Linked DNA regions of Drosophila melanogaster. The protein of the gene in region 1 purifies or fractionates together with the protein of each later gene. This does not show direct contact. Each region holds a gene or a part of one and is shown on either strand. Other genes may lie near its edges.

Region 1 (7,711 bases):
AGGCAATCACAGCGATTTACCTACTGCTCTTAACTCTCACTGAAAGGGCGCAATTTCAACCAAATGGTAATTATTTCCGAGCTTAAAACTGCATAGAACTGAAACAATTTGCTGGTTAAGCAAAAGTAAATACTTTGGGTAGATATTTTTGTTCTTGGGGGTGGAAGGCATCTTAAGGGTGGTAATGGATAAAATCACGAGAACCATGTCATCTTTGAAATTTATCATATTTCTCTAATTTTGGTTTTAAACTTATACATCTTATAGTAGTTCGTAACCTCTGCTTAAGAGTTCTTTATATAACTCAGATAGTTTAATCTGTAAGTTAGTTTTACGTTTCTTTATTTTTTCACACAAAAAATTACAAAAGTTGAATTTTTCACACCGAACCAATGCCTAATCCCCTGCATGTTGATCCAGCGAACATAACTCATACGTACAATATTATTTGTGGTTTTTGCGCTGCATTTTCAACATTTGGCGCCATTGGCGATTTGACGCGCAAATACCTAAATCAAAAAAAAAAGGAAAAAAAAATTGAACAAAATTTATTTTTACTGTGTCCTGTGGCCACACAAGTTATGAAAACAAAAGGAAGTAAAGAAAATGCAGAAAAGCAGTCCAATAGCGCCCAAAAGTCTGCAACTGTTAAACTGTTATACGGCCAACTAAGGTCCAAGACAGCATCACCAAAAACTGTGCTACGAGCAAGGTCAAAGTGCGCATGATCGAAGAGAGCCAAAGAGATGTAAGATGAAAGGGCGGATGCAATGGGCAATGGCAGTGGCAAAAACAATTTAACTACATGCGAAGCAACAAGAACAACGAGCAAAAGGCCATGGGGTTTAGGCCAAAAAACGTAACAACGGCCTGACCTTCACCATCACCGCAGTTCTTTTTTTTCAGTAAAAATATCTTATACATGGTGTATGCCACTTTGAGGCGCTTGTGTGGGTGCGTTTGAGATCTGCTTTTGTTGGCTTAAATGTTTTCACGCTAAATGGAGCAGCAGCATAAGCAGCAGCAGCTACAGCGTCATTGTGGCGGCATTGATACGCGGAAGTGGAACCACACGGCGCATACTTAATGGGTGCGTATCTATGCACTCGACAAAATAAATCCAAAAAATATGTTATTCAATGGTTGGTAAAATTAAAAATTCGATAATTTAACAAATATAGCAATCGATCTATAGTGTATCATACCAATTAAACAGAATGTTTAAAAATCCTAACATTTTAAAATTATATTACAAATCGATAGCTTCATCTTATAAGGTTTTCTTTCTTTTGTTTTTCATAATACAATAAATTACTATTTTCTGGTTTTAGTTAACTAACTAACTACTTTTTTTTGTATCTACTATCTGCCCTAGTGAGCCTGTATCTCTGCTTGCATAATGATGCCAAGAGATCTAATGAGTTTGTTAACCCCAATTTCGAGCAAAATGAAAAGCAATTCATCTCTCGTGGAAATCGTATTCAACCCAATGATTGAAATTTTGCGGATTTTTCACATCGATTTGCCGATTTTCTCTGTGCAATTTGAATGCGACATTTACGATGTGCTGGTTAAAAAATATTTGTTGTCATTCGTTTCGGCATCGCTGGAAATATGCTGGGCATGATTGATGATATATCTGATTGAATGGGGCTTTCGACGAACTGCCTGATAGATAGATGGTTCAAAATGGAAGGACTAGCAGCAGGTGGCAGCTGCCAGGATGTAAGTATCCTTCGCTAAGCGGATTTCAACCAGGCCATCATCATCAGAAAAGGAGTTTATTTCTTTTCTGTTTTTGGCTTTTTTTTTTCCATGTGGTCTGCGTGTGCGGAAAGTTTACTGTTTTTCAGAAGGAAAGAACTTAAGTAGGATTTTTCCATTTCCACTTTTCGTATGCTAATGCAAGGGGGAAAGTGGAAAAGAGAAGCATTTAATCAAGTTTATGTGGAATAAATTATATTTATACGCTTTTCTTTGAAATAATGGTTACAGCGTTGCCATTAGGCTTATTAGAAAAGGGAAAAGAAGAAAAATGAGAGGAAAAACCACCCAAAGAAGTCAAAGCGATTAAGATGGATGATGCCCGAAAGTGGGGAGCATAATAAGACAAATTATTTGCAAGGATATGAAAAGGGGTTACAAAATGGAAGGAATAAAATACTTTTCATTTCAAATAATAATTAAATAAATCAATATTCAATAATATAAGTATATACTGCTTGGCAATTTCATTTAAAAAGGCTAGTTTCAAAATGAGTTGAGTAATAAAAAAAAGGAAAGCATTAGATCTCTGCATACTGCAATGCACATTTTTGTACATATAAACTGTGACAGAAATACCCACAAATTACATGCTCATAGAATCTCGGAAACATATCGTGCACATAAATTCCTACTCTATTTTATTGAAATTCTGTGAGGAACGTATGTGCAATCTCTTCTCATTTTTTTTCTGTTGAATAAGCATGAAAAATATCATGTTGCATATTGTCCGAAATATAGTTTAGAAGTCTTGTGCAAAAATGCGATGTCGCAAGTAAGCATAAAAAAAAATATCAGGCACAGCACCCATCTGCCACCCAAAAATGTGGATCTGCTCATGTAAATAACTGCAAATGGAGCTGTGGAAAAATATTGTAGTTGACAATAGAGTTTTTCATTGGTTGGCTAAACAAGTCAAGGTTCGGAGTTTTTTAAGTAATTGCTGCTTATACAAATTTACGGTGCAAGTTTTCCCTTTGTTAGACGAGATAAATGGGGGTGGCATATTTACGCCCCATGATTTATGGCGCTCATTTTTCGAGGACATTATAAAAAAATAAAAACTTTTTGGTGGGTCAAAGTGAAGAGAAGTCAAACAAAGATAAGCGAACCAAACTTTGATTTTGTGTGCCATTTGTTTATTGTTCTCAATTGTTGTTACATTTTGACTGCGACACAGGTGGTATATTTGATCGTTTTCATGTCCTTATATTTTCAAAAGGGCCATTTTGAGCTACTTTTGTAGCGTTGATAAATGAGAGCCATCTTCACATGTCACGAAAGTTTTAAGTTTTTTAAAACTTTTTAGTATTAAAATCCCCTATTTTTCTAAGCCCGATATATACAATAGGTATCCTTTTTTGCGAACCAACGTTGATATTTTCAAAGACATCCTTGTTGCATAAACAGGACCGTGGACCGTGAAGTATTTAGCATACAACCAAAATGTGGAGTCTCATTTTTCGCTCGCATATTTTCGCCCACAGCTTTTATCCTGCAGATGACGGAAGTCTCAAAGTGACAGACAATTTTAGCCTTAACAAGAATAACAGCAGCACGCTGAAGTGATGGAAACTCTAGCCACATGTGCGCAAATATTTTTTCCTGCTTCTGGCTTCTACCGTCAGTGCCTTCCAGCCTCAGTCAGCATAATAATGAATTACATACGGTGGAGATTCTTGTGCCGGGAATCCGGCAATCCTAGCCGTCATCAACATCGGGCAACAACTACCTATGGAAACAGTCTGAGCCACTCGCTTAGCTTCCTTGCCACGCTTTGTTGGCTGCAGCAATTTTACAATTGACTGTTTCTGCTGTTTCTAAATGGGGGAAACTCCCCGTTTTGCAGTGGAAACCCCCTTTGTTTAACGGGGAAACGGGATGGCGAAATGGGTGAGTTTGTAAAACGCTTGACTTGTTTTACGCATTATTTACTTAGTTGGGATGCTAGCTACCTCTTGCTCCACATGTACATGCACGTGTTTGTATAAGCTCACGCAGGAAAAACTGTTGTCACAACTTCGATTTTGTTATTTAAAGTAAAGTTTAAAGTTATTTAAAGTAAAGGCTCAAAGTCACTAAAAAGAAGTCTTAAATTAAGCAATAGAAAATATAAGCATACATTTTGGCTTAAAAACTATAACTATCGATGCAGAACCCATTTCTCTCAGTGTTGCTGTGCGTGTATACCCTTTTAGTTGTCTTTGTGCGTCCATTCCGTGGGGGATAGGGGCGTGGCAAATGAACTAGTATAAAAGTAAGTTTGCGGCAAGCAGCAAAACGTTTGGTTACAATTAATTTCGTACTCTGCGCTGGGTAATAAGGGGATATATGCACAGATACAGGGTATGTGAGTGCCATAAAAGGGGGGAGATTGTGATGCCCGGTGGGGGGGGGGGTGGCCCCTTAATGTGAGCAATTTGAAATGAAAATCGGCCCCGGAGTCCTGTTGCTGTAAAAGTATTTTTGCGGGCATTTCTACCATTATTTGCATCTCCAGCTGAAAATAAATGAAGGGTAAACGCAAATCGAAATTCCCTGCCAGACCATCAACAATGGAAGTCGGGCAAATAACAAATGGAAAAATTACACGAATATCAAATCAAAATTATCTTTACGTAGCGGGAGATGTTTTAATGCGGGACATAAAGCAAAAATGGGCAATAAAAATGTTTTAAATGCGTTTGGGAAATGGGCAAATTCTCAAGATATCTCAGCGGAAGACTAGTCCAATAAAAGCTGTTCAAATGGGTAACTTAATGTGCTAAATGGGATACATTTTTATTTCTGTGATATTTAATAGCTAAGGCTTACTTGATCGACGTGCTCTTGTGAATCGTGAAAAAAGAATCCGTTTGCTGTCCGAATTACTTGTGGTAAACACACGAAACAAACACACGTTTTTGTGTTTTCTTTTTTTTTTTGCTTTTGGCACTAGATGCTAAATGACAGGCGGCTTATGCAACATTTATTTGATATTGTATTAAATATTTAACGCACGACACGACAAAACACTTTTGCCTCATTAATCTAACGCACACAAGAGCAGCGGGCAGAATGAGGAAAAGCTGCTAATTGAAGCCGGCAGCACAACGAAATACACAGTGCACACACAAAAAGCACACACAATCACAAAGGGACACTAAGCCTTTAGTCGTTGATTGATACGGATAGCCCAAGGAATTTGAGGTTTTTCCCACTGCGGGTAATGGGACTTGGGGTGGTTTTGAAAAATTTGTGACGTTTTTCCTGTTAACACGAGAATTTTACGCGACTTGCCAATGCGCGAGGCGAAAGCGATGAGCAAAATGTTTTCCGTCCTCACGTGAGCACTTGCAATGGGAGACTGAAATTTTGCGCAAAAGAGCCTGTAAGTATGCAGCAGCCTTTGCCGTATAACACTACAGTCAGTATAACAGTTTGATGCTTACTTGAGGGATGAGAAAAATGTATATTTTTGGTGAAAGAGCTCTTTAATGCCACCTGATAAAAGGTAACATTAAATTTGGTTTAATGCACAACGACCTACGGCATCATCAGCATAAACTTGGCCAACTATTTAACCACAAAAAATAAGCAGAAAAACAGAATAAATCTTATAAACATATGTGTTCAAGGCAGAAAACCATTTCCGCCAAATTGCCCAAGCCTAGTCGCACAATTTATTTTTATTTGAACCCCGAGAAGTTTATGGTTTCTTCTTTCCCCCGCCAAAATGCTGATTATTATGATTATTTACTCAGCCTATTTGTGTGTGGGCGTTTGGTTACATAATTAGGCCATTAAGTATAAGTGCCCAAGTCTCTGATTTCCACATTTCCACGGCCCAGCATCACAAATCGATCAGGCTGGCAAACAAATTCCGTTCGACAAAGAGAGGCAATTTTAAATGGAAACAGAAGGCTATAAGGAAAACGTATTTTCAGCAGCAACTTTTCTTTGGCGGAAAACGTAATTGAATTTTTATTGACATTCTAGCGGAAGTGGAGGTGAGGACAGCTGTCACTTGAGCGACGAAGTTGCCTGGAAATAAAGCGCAACTATTTTGTAGAAAATGACCAGGACAGTAAAGTGGAAGGACGAAAATCGGGAACGAAGAACGAAAGCAAAACCAAAAATCTAAAGAAATCAAAAGAAAAATATAAATTTCGGAAAATTAATTCCGTTTTTTAAGGCCGCTTTAAAAGGGGATTGAGCAAGGGATTGCCAAGAATAACCTAATTAGGGTTGACTTAAGGCAACCGATGGAAAATTTTCCGCAGATTAAGCTCGAAGAAAAAGCCCAACGAAAATATTTAAAAATAACAATTTAAAATTCAGCAGGAGAGAAAGAGAAAATGGAAAAGGGTTGATTTACATGAAAATTGTATTGAGTACTTTTTAAGACTTTTTTTTTGTAGTCATTTTTGTAAATTTGTTTACTTATACTTTGTAGATATTATGGCTTTACAAATGGCATTCAAACATTGTAATCCATTCTTAATGGCAAATAGATAAGTTTATAATTACAGATATAATTGCTTTTCTATATGGCGATCCAGTCCAAGTCCGCTTACCAATTAAAGTTCGACGTAGCCATTTGTCATGACTATCTGCATCATAATATGCCACTATTATCATTTACAGCCACCCGTTTTTGTCCAATCGCTTTTCTCATTACCAGGAGACACCCTCGTCTCTGGCCGGTCATTAAATTATTTTATATGGCACATTAAAAGTGAGCATAAACACACAAACTCTCACTGGCCCTTACTTTCTCTACTATACGAGTGTGTGTGTGTGTGTAGAGTAAGTGAAATGCATTTGCAGTGGGGGGGTGTGGTCATAAGCCAAAGGCTTATGTGGAAAAGTAAGAGAAAGGGGAGCGGCGTCTGTCCGAGTGGCATTTCCATCTGCGGCAGGTTCTATTTGCTATTATTATCATAGTCGGAGTGCTTGGGCGGTTATTATTGTTACCACTGAGTCTGCTCGTCGGCTTCTAAGCAATTATTTAAAGCACCGCAAGGACGGGAGAAATGCAGGGACAACTCTCCCTTTCTCTGTCCGCGGGGAAATGAAGGCAATGTCCAGTGTTGGCTGCAGAGATTTCAATTTAAAAACGAGGCCAAACTGCTGGGCGAAAAGCCAAGGGGGGGGGGGGCTTCGCACACGTGTGACCATACTTTTTTATGCCAGCACAGCAGGTTCTTCAAGCACTGTTTTAAATTACATAAATAAATTCTATTTTTAAACTAGCTGTATGCTATATTTATGTACAATATTTAGGTAATAAACGGAGAAAATATTTTAGCATAAATTTATTTATAAGTTGTAACTTCAAAATACATACGAAAATAGTCACATTTTAAGGGGAAACCTATTCCAGTTTTCAAATTAATTGCTTTCTATTGCATCAACGGTCGGTTCTGTAAAAAATAAACATCTTTTTTAGCTCTTAAAAATTAATGCAATTTATAGTTAGTATAAAAAACTTGTTTTTTTTTTCGCTGTGTACCAATCACCTTTGCTGTACAGTTTCGTGTGAGGCTTGTTGATTGCGTGCTATTGTGGCGAGAGATGCTCACATATTTATTTACAATTTAAATTCAGTCAGTAACGCCGACCTTCTGAACAATTTTCGCACCTGTCACCCTTTTGTGCCTTCTTAATTGTCGCAATCAATTGGGCCAACAAGAGGTTAAAAGCTTAATTTATTACCTGTATTTCGTATGGATTTTGCCAGCAGGCAACGGATCTCTTTTAAAACCATTTTATAATCGGTTCTCAGTTCGATTTTTGAAACCGCATTTTCCGGTGCTGATTCAGAAATCTCTGGCTTTATGGCATCATCGTAATCGAAAAGTGTAGACTCCGTATCGTCCATAACATTATACCATTCCAGTTTTCTGCGTATGGCTTGCATTATTTGTCGTCTGTATTGGCAATCTTTACCGGATAAATCACTAGG
Region 2 (7,607 bases), on another chromosome or scaffold:
CTTCCCCTTTTCCCATTTTCCCGCACTGCAAGAAGTTAGTTGTCAACACGGTACCACGTAATTATAGAGTTGCAGGGCTTATAGAACACACCACACGAACACATACAGCCAAAGAAAAATGAATAGCAGTCTTTAATATGCATCTATATTTATTGAATTTATGGCATAGAATAGTTTATAGTATTCTAGAGATTTTGAAATATTTTAAAAATATTTTTTAAAATATCTTATGGTATTTAGCAAAAGTCATTTCACATAGAAATCAAGTTAGGAGTACTATTATTTTCGACGAGAGTGCGCCGCACATCGGGCCACATTTCATTTGCTTTCTAATAATTTCTGTGGAAAATTCCGATTGCACATGTGGGACTTTATATTGGCAGCACTGTGGAAACCAATTAAAATGCTGCACTGGCTCTGATTATGGCCAACGACAACTTTGTGTGGGAGTGGCGGTGTGAATAGATTGGTATGTGTCAACTAAGTGCAGTTAATTAGTGCGAAAATCACTTCAGTTGGCTTGGGATATTTTTTCGCTCTCGGATTTCCTTTCAGCTTTTCGCGCCATTGTTGTTGGCGCCACCTCCGCAACGGAGCGTTTTTCCTTGGCGAATTTTCACGTTAATTGCTCTGCGTCCTGCAATCAGCCGGAAAACAGGAGCAGATGCCGGGAAAGCCAGCTGCTTGCAGGCGAGCTATAAGCCACTCAGGGATTTACTCAATTTGTTGTCACTTCATTCCGCAATTTATTTCGGTTTATTTTCCGTGTTTTACTTTAAATCTACGCAGTTTCTTTTTTTTTGTTTATATGCCACAGTTTATAAAGGAGAAGAAGCATTTGTTAATAGGCCAGGATTTGTTGAACGAATTTTGTTTTGTATATAAAGAAGAAATGAGTATTATTACATTTAAGCATAGTATTTGGCATACGTATACATTTATTTATGCTGAGAAATCCCCGAGATATTCTTAATTTTTCTTATATGCAAGCCCAAAAATTTATCAATCTGACTTAAATTTGAGATCTGCTACAAGAGCAACATGATCGGATGGAAAAACAGCCGATGGTATCGCAGTATTGGCTTTCAACTCCTCCTCCGTTGGCAGTGGCACCACCTTTAGAACTTCGAAGCGATCGTTTTGGTAGAACACATAGTCCAAGCAACCCGCAAAGAGGGTGGTGTAGTGGGTATATTCCGGTGCCCCATAGGCTGATGCCATTTTGAAAGGCTGCGCGAGTTCCACATTCGAAACCGCCTGCTCGGCATTACTTTGCCAGTCCTCCAGTGTTTTTTCGGCGAGCTGCTCCGTCATCAGCTTGTAGATTCCACACTCGGGAACGCTATTGAAATCGCCACAAAATATTAGTCCAATGTTTTTGTGGCTACTTATGTTAAAGTCCTTTATAGCTTTGCTAATAGATTGCTCTACGAATAGCATGGAAAATCCCATTTGCAGCAGGCGAATGTGATCTGCATCCGGATGGAAATATAAATGCGTGTTGGCCACCAGAACGTAGTTATCGGTACCCTTTATTCTAAGCAAACAAGTTTGCAGAGTGGTGGACCGTTCACAGATTCGTTCTGCTAATTGTGCGTTAACTTTGATCTTATTCCAAAGGCTTTCAAATACGGGCAGTGCGGGAATATTGGACCCCAAATGCAGGATTTGAGAATCCAAGAGATCGAAGCGCGAGTTCCGAAAGAAAATTGCCACTCCCTCAGCGCATTTGCCTTTCGGGGCCATTATGCCGTGATAGTTATACGGCGGTTGTTCTAGAATTTCCTTTAAATCAAAATCAAATATTCGCTGATCGACTTCTTGTAGACAGAGAATATCGGAGTTATAACCGATGATCTCGTTGATGAACAGTGGCTTCCTATAGTCTATTTGCAGATACTTTGCCGGGCAATAGGAGAACAGAGTGCTACCGGCATAGTCACTACTGGCATATAAATCGGCCAACAAATTGTAAGACACCACACGAATTTCATTCGATTCGCTCAAAGAATTCGTGGTGTGCCTTTGGCGATCTTGGAATGGACAACGCCCGGGAGATTCCTGCACTGCAGAGTTGGTTATCTTCTCCACCACAGGACCCGTCATTCCCAGTGCATTACCCGGCGTCACCACGAACTTCAAATGGTAACCAATATCCTCAGGAGTCACTAGATATTGAAATCCTTCTCCGCACACCTCCCAATCGGTGTCTGTGGGCTTTTTGGCCTTGAACCAAACTGCTTTGCTGAACTGACGTTCTCCGAATTGTATCTGAACATTGGTGGGGTATATTACAAATCCTGCCAATATGCATGAGGGCAAAAATTTTAGGGATGAAATCCACGGTGGATTGAACACCAAATCGTAGACCGTATCTAATACCTGCAGTTTTACATTGCTGATATCTTGGGTGACGACTAGATCCTCAAATGTTAATTCATTGAATTTTTCACCATATTTGTCACTCAGAAGTTTAACATTGATTTCTGCCGGCGGTTTGATTTTTGATTTTTTGCAGGACTTTGCAAGCCTGCCAATAATATTACTCTGAATCCTGGCCAATATCGCATCAATGGGCTCATTCATCTGGCGACGGAAATTGAATTCCCGGTTTATTTTCAAATTCTCATTCACAAAGCGAAACACAATGTCCAATTCTTTGGTATCACTTGCATTTCTCAAATAAACCTTCTCCATTTTACCAGCCAAGGAAGTGCCACAAAATCTGGACAATAGCGAAACTCTAGTTGGAGTTTTATTTCCGAATAATTTATCAGAATTGCGAACTATGTTTTTAAACAAAAAAAACCCCATCAATGTTGCAAATGTTGGAGCGAAGATCGGCGTTGAAGAAGAGAACTTCTCTTAGTTGACTTGTTTTTCGCCGTTTTATCTGGGAAAATTTTGGGTTAGACAACTTTACTTGGTGCACCGATGTCGTAACAACTCACTTGTCCAGATTTAGTTGCAAAATTAATCACATTTAAGTTGTTTTACACCTATTTACAATCGGCAAACAGTCGTGTTGCACGAAAACACCGCAGAAATTAGGCGAAACTGCGCCGATTTCGATAAAAACGAAGAGAGATTTTTACTTTTTCGCTCTGCCACGCCGCGCGATCAGCTGTTGTTTTTGGCATTCACAACGAAACCAACCACATGCTCGGCATTGAGAAACAGCTGATCTTGAGAGAGCTTCTGCCATTAGCAACGTTGAAGCTTTGACGCAAAAGCTTTTAATAAAAGCTTTATTTAATTTCAAATCTTGAAAGCAAAAAGATTTCACTTAAATATTACTTTTTTTCATAAAATTATAAAGCTGATAAATATATGAAGAGTTGCTATGATCTGAAATTGAACATATCGAAGAATAGAAGATTTTTTCTATGAAATAGAAAAAAAATTTCTATATAGGAAACGTTTATTCCTTTTTTGTGGTCATTAGGAGGAACATTATTATTCGCAAAATATACACCCGAACAAAACTATAAAACCTCCTATTTCACTTCAGTTGAAAACTATTTTCACGGCAAACGTCGTAAACATTAAGCTAAGTGTTACGATCCAAATGAGACATCTTGCCCCAACGAAGGAAACTCAACTTTCGGCCAAGTTAAGAAAGGACAACTGAGACGACGGCCATAAAAATTCGAAACAGAAGCCAGATCATATGTGTAGAGCGTATTTGGCAAAGGGGTGGACCAAAGGTATGGAGCACACAAGTGCATAAAACGCCGAAACAAGCCAAGAGATGACTTGGCCAGGCCAAAAAGGAATTGGCTTGGCCCCGAAACAGAGTCAACAACTGTGCGCCACACAAGAGTTTGCCAAAAAGATTGCACTACGAAGGAGCAAATGAAAAAATAAAAATCAAAAACAAGAGAAAAATCGCATAGAACTCTATAAAGGACACAGAGGACCAAAAAGGACAACAACCTGACTGGCAGGGCAAACGAAACCAGTTGAAGAAATGTTGCTGACACCAAAAACGAAACTGCAGGAAGACGCCGATGATGAGGATGAGCCAGGGAATGAGGCTAAGCCCGAGGATGCAGAGAGCATCCTTGGGCCCGAGATGTGGAGCAGAGGCGGTAAGGACAACAACGAAATTAGTTAGCACTTGAGAGAAAGCAGCTTTGGCTCAGTTCCAGGACTCGTTGCTGGCTTACAACACCTGCGGGAAAAAGAAGAGGACTTTTAGCTGCTCCTTCTGTTCCCTACTCCTTTCCTATTGACCCGAACCAGAGATGGCCAAAAAGCTTCGATTAGACACAGTGGATGGAACAAGGACTAGAAACTAACTATAAGTCATTTAAGAGTTTTACATATTGAACATTTTTTAAGCAATATTATATACACTTTTCAAAAATTTACCAGCATTTATATTGAAATTAAGTATAGATGATTATATTCGATAGTATATTTCTGAGATATAAAGATTAAAATCCACCAAAAATCAGCAAAATAGTTAGCTCATCTTCGACAGAAGTGGTGAAAAGCAAGTTCTTGGAGGCAGGCGGCAGCAATTAAATAGCTTCGAGCACTCCGAACTCAATTGCAGCAATTTCAATAACCGTCGAGGACACTCAAAGGACGGCAAGGTCCTTGCGATAATCTGTCATGCAGCGTGGAAGCCCAAGCACCGTGTCGCACACACCCACTCACACACACACAGCACACAGGACGAGTTCACAGCACACCAACCCACTTTCCATTCACACTCAAGGACAACTAGAATATCCGCTTTTGGTCTGAACACTTGAAGAACTTTCTTGCACTCACCTATTTCACTTGCTGCGGGAATTTGCTATATTTCTTCTTATTTTCCTTTTTACACTTGTAGAATTTGTAGCCGAAAGCGGATAACTGGGCTATTTCATTTGTAGTCTTGTGGGGGTAAATACTTTGTATATTTTTTTGTAGATTTTCTTCTTAAGAATTATTGATAAAAGCATGGAAGAGTGACGCGGTACGGCCGAAAGGTTAACACATTGAGAATTTTGCCACCAATAAGCCGAAAAATTGATAAACTTTTATAAAATTATATGTACGTTACACAATCTGATTTGGAAACACTACAACTAAAAATCTATATTGAATCGATTTGACAAGCGTTAGCGCAGCCAACTGGGATGCAAAGCTCTCGCTGTTCATTTTTTATTTTTTATGAACTTTGCTAAAATAAAACTAAATTAAATTTAAAAAAAAGCAAATGAATTGGATACCATAATTGATTGCTATCACTGATTCATATCAGTCGTTCAGCTCACCAAGTCGAACGTTTGACATTAGCAATAAATGAATCAACAAATATAAAAGTTTTGCCAAGAAAGTAATTTGCTAAAATTGGCGAGTCGAGAAAGAAAGTCAAGAGGGTGAGTGGAAAAAAAACCGAAAGAAATTCAATGAGGCTGAAAATTTCCTGGCTCGATGCCAATTGAAGGCAAAGAAAGAAAACAAAACTCGAGTTTCTAATCAATTAAAAAATACAACGAGCGGCGGCAGGGGCAAATCAAGAGTAGAGGGTACGATTTTCGGCAATAAATAAATTACAACCAGCATGCAGTCAAAGCGATTAAATTGAAGGGGAGGCTTCCAGGACTATCTGATGCCGAAGAAAGTACAAAACTTCACTACGTCTGGTGCAATTTTAATTACGACTGCGATAGGAGCAGGTCGAAAGTAATGGCAAGGAGCAAAGACACCAGTCACGAGATACACAAACTCGTTGCGACTGCGAGAATACCCCGTATCTTATTGTGTTGTTTATAGAAAATGTAGGAAGCTACTTTTTGATGATTACATGGAGTCTTTCTTTCAAATTTGCATGAATATTTCGAAGAATATTTACATGAATTGTTTGAAATCATTGCTATATGGTTGTAGATTTAAAATTTCCAAAATAAATACTACTATAAACGTTAACAAATTTTATAAAGATTATGTTACTTATATATTATTATATTATATATTTTCTCCTCATATTTCAATTTCCAAAACCCTAATATGATAATATCCCTAATATCCTAATATATCCCTAACTTAAAACTTCTTTATAGTACCATTTACAAATGAATTAAATTTTAAATCGATTTCAAAAAGGCTTTTCTTGAAATGTCCTTTTGTCATTAATCAAAAAAAAATCTCTCAGTTGCAAATTTCTTTATCGTAAATGCAACATGATATTAAAAAAAATTAAAAATTAAAAAAAAAAATTGGTAACCCATATTTGATCCAAATTACTCCATGTGTAATATATCCTTAGCGCAACTTTTACAGGGTATAGCAGGGCGAAAGGCGCCGAGTCGACTAATCCTTTGGCAAAGTCTTTGACAGTTGTCTTAGATTGCACAACAACAAAGAGGAGAAACACAATAACATCTTCATTATTATCATTATCATTGTTTCCAGCACTGTGGGATGAAAAAGTACAATAAACGAATAAGTACAATAAATAAGCAAACGAAGAAACAACAAACATTATCGCACATCATTATCGTTGTCATTCAGAGAGCGTCGTTCCAGCTTAAAAAAGCCAGCCCAACAAATATATGTATATATATATATACCTATATATATTTGCTTTATTTTGGTGTTTAGTTAGTTTTTATGAGCGTCATTATTTTCGCTTGCCATGGCGCTAAGCATCTTAAGTGGCTCCTGCTCCCGCATTTCCCTCCTATTTTTTAGTGGAGCACTTTCCTCGTGTATTTGTTTTCATAGGCGCAAAATGTCTTCGTCAACTTTTGACGATTTTATAATTTAACTTTTGCCGGGAGAGCTCCTCCTTTTCTCCATTCCTCCATTTCCGCCCGCCGGTTTTTCCTCTTCCTAGTTTCGAAAACAACTTAATAATAAGTGAGTGCTGAGTGCTGGTTGGAGGAAAGTTGACTTGGTTAGAGAAAGACGCCTGCAATTAAGGTGGCACCACCAAGGCTGTGTATTTTTGTTGGGTCTTTTGGGCTAGGCAATTATTACAGGGGATCCAGTGCATTTAGAAAGTTTTCTGTGCGGAAATAATTGTCAAGGATAACCATGGTAATTGTAGGGAAAAACTGATAAACTGAAAAGCAAAGCTCGTTGCTCATTGTTGTCTTTTGCACACAGAATTCTGAGCAAAATGTTACTAAAATAGGGGCATTGCAAATGCAAGAAGCCCATACGAACGTATTTTCTGAAGACAAATTAACAAATACATTATCATTAAACATTAAGTACTCATATTTGCTGGTCAATTATGCATTAAGATACTCAAAATTCCATGATATTTAGGCACATTAAATAAACAACATACTAAAGATTATAAATATATTTTTTAAATTATATGTATTCATTGTCACAATTAGGCCACAAAGCCCTAACAGGAACGTTTTTTTAAGATCTAGCGAATTGTATTCTATTTTAAAAACTTTATTCTAGTAATATAACCCAATGACATTTAAAAGCTTCTTAATATAGAAAATAAAATAAATTGGGTTGGAGAACAAATAACTTATTCCTTTGAATAGCATTCAAGACATCTGCAAGTGAAGTCTACTACGTTAATGCCATCTCCATTTAATACCTGAGCTTACTCACCTGTTAACTTAGCCCAAAAGGGTTGTTAC

What was found.
Region 2: the proteins of Rbfox1 (region 1) and bru1 purify together in Drosophila melanogaster (affinity purification with western blotting, with the first as the bait; one study listed by BioGRID). This does not show direct contact.

The regions. Positions count from the first base shown.
Region 1 is NT_037436.4:10,478,813-10,486,523, reverse strand, and holds the start of Rbfox1 (RNA-binding Fox protein 1), read right to left. Parts: upstream 5,113-7,711; 5' UTR 4,579-5,112; intron 1-4,578. Other genes in the region: CG46430 (uncharacterized protein), read right to left, coding at 7,138-7,169, 7,462-7,711.
Region 2 is NT_033779.5:12,203,306-12,210,912, reverse strand, and holds the start of bru1 (bruno 1), read right to left. Parts: upstream 5,071-7,607; 5' UTR 4,783-5,070; intron 3,205-4,782; exon of another isoform or gene 2,698-3,204; coding exon of another isoform or gene 1,003-2,697; exon of another isoform or gene 803-1,002; intron 1-802. Other genes in the region: CG31759 (uncharacterized protein), read right to left, coding at 1,003-2,697.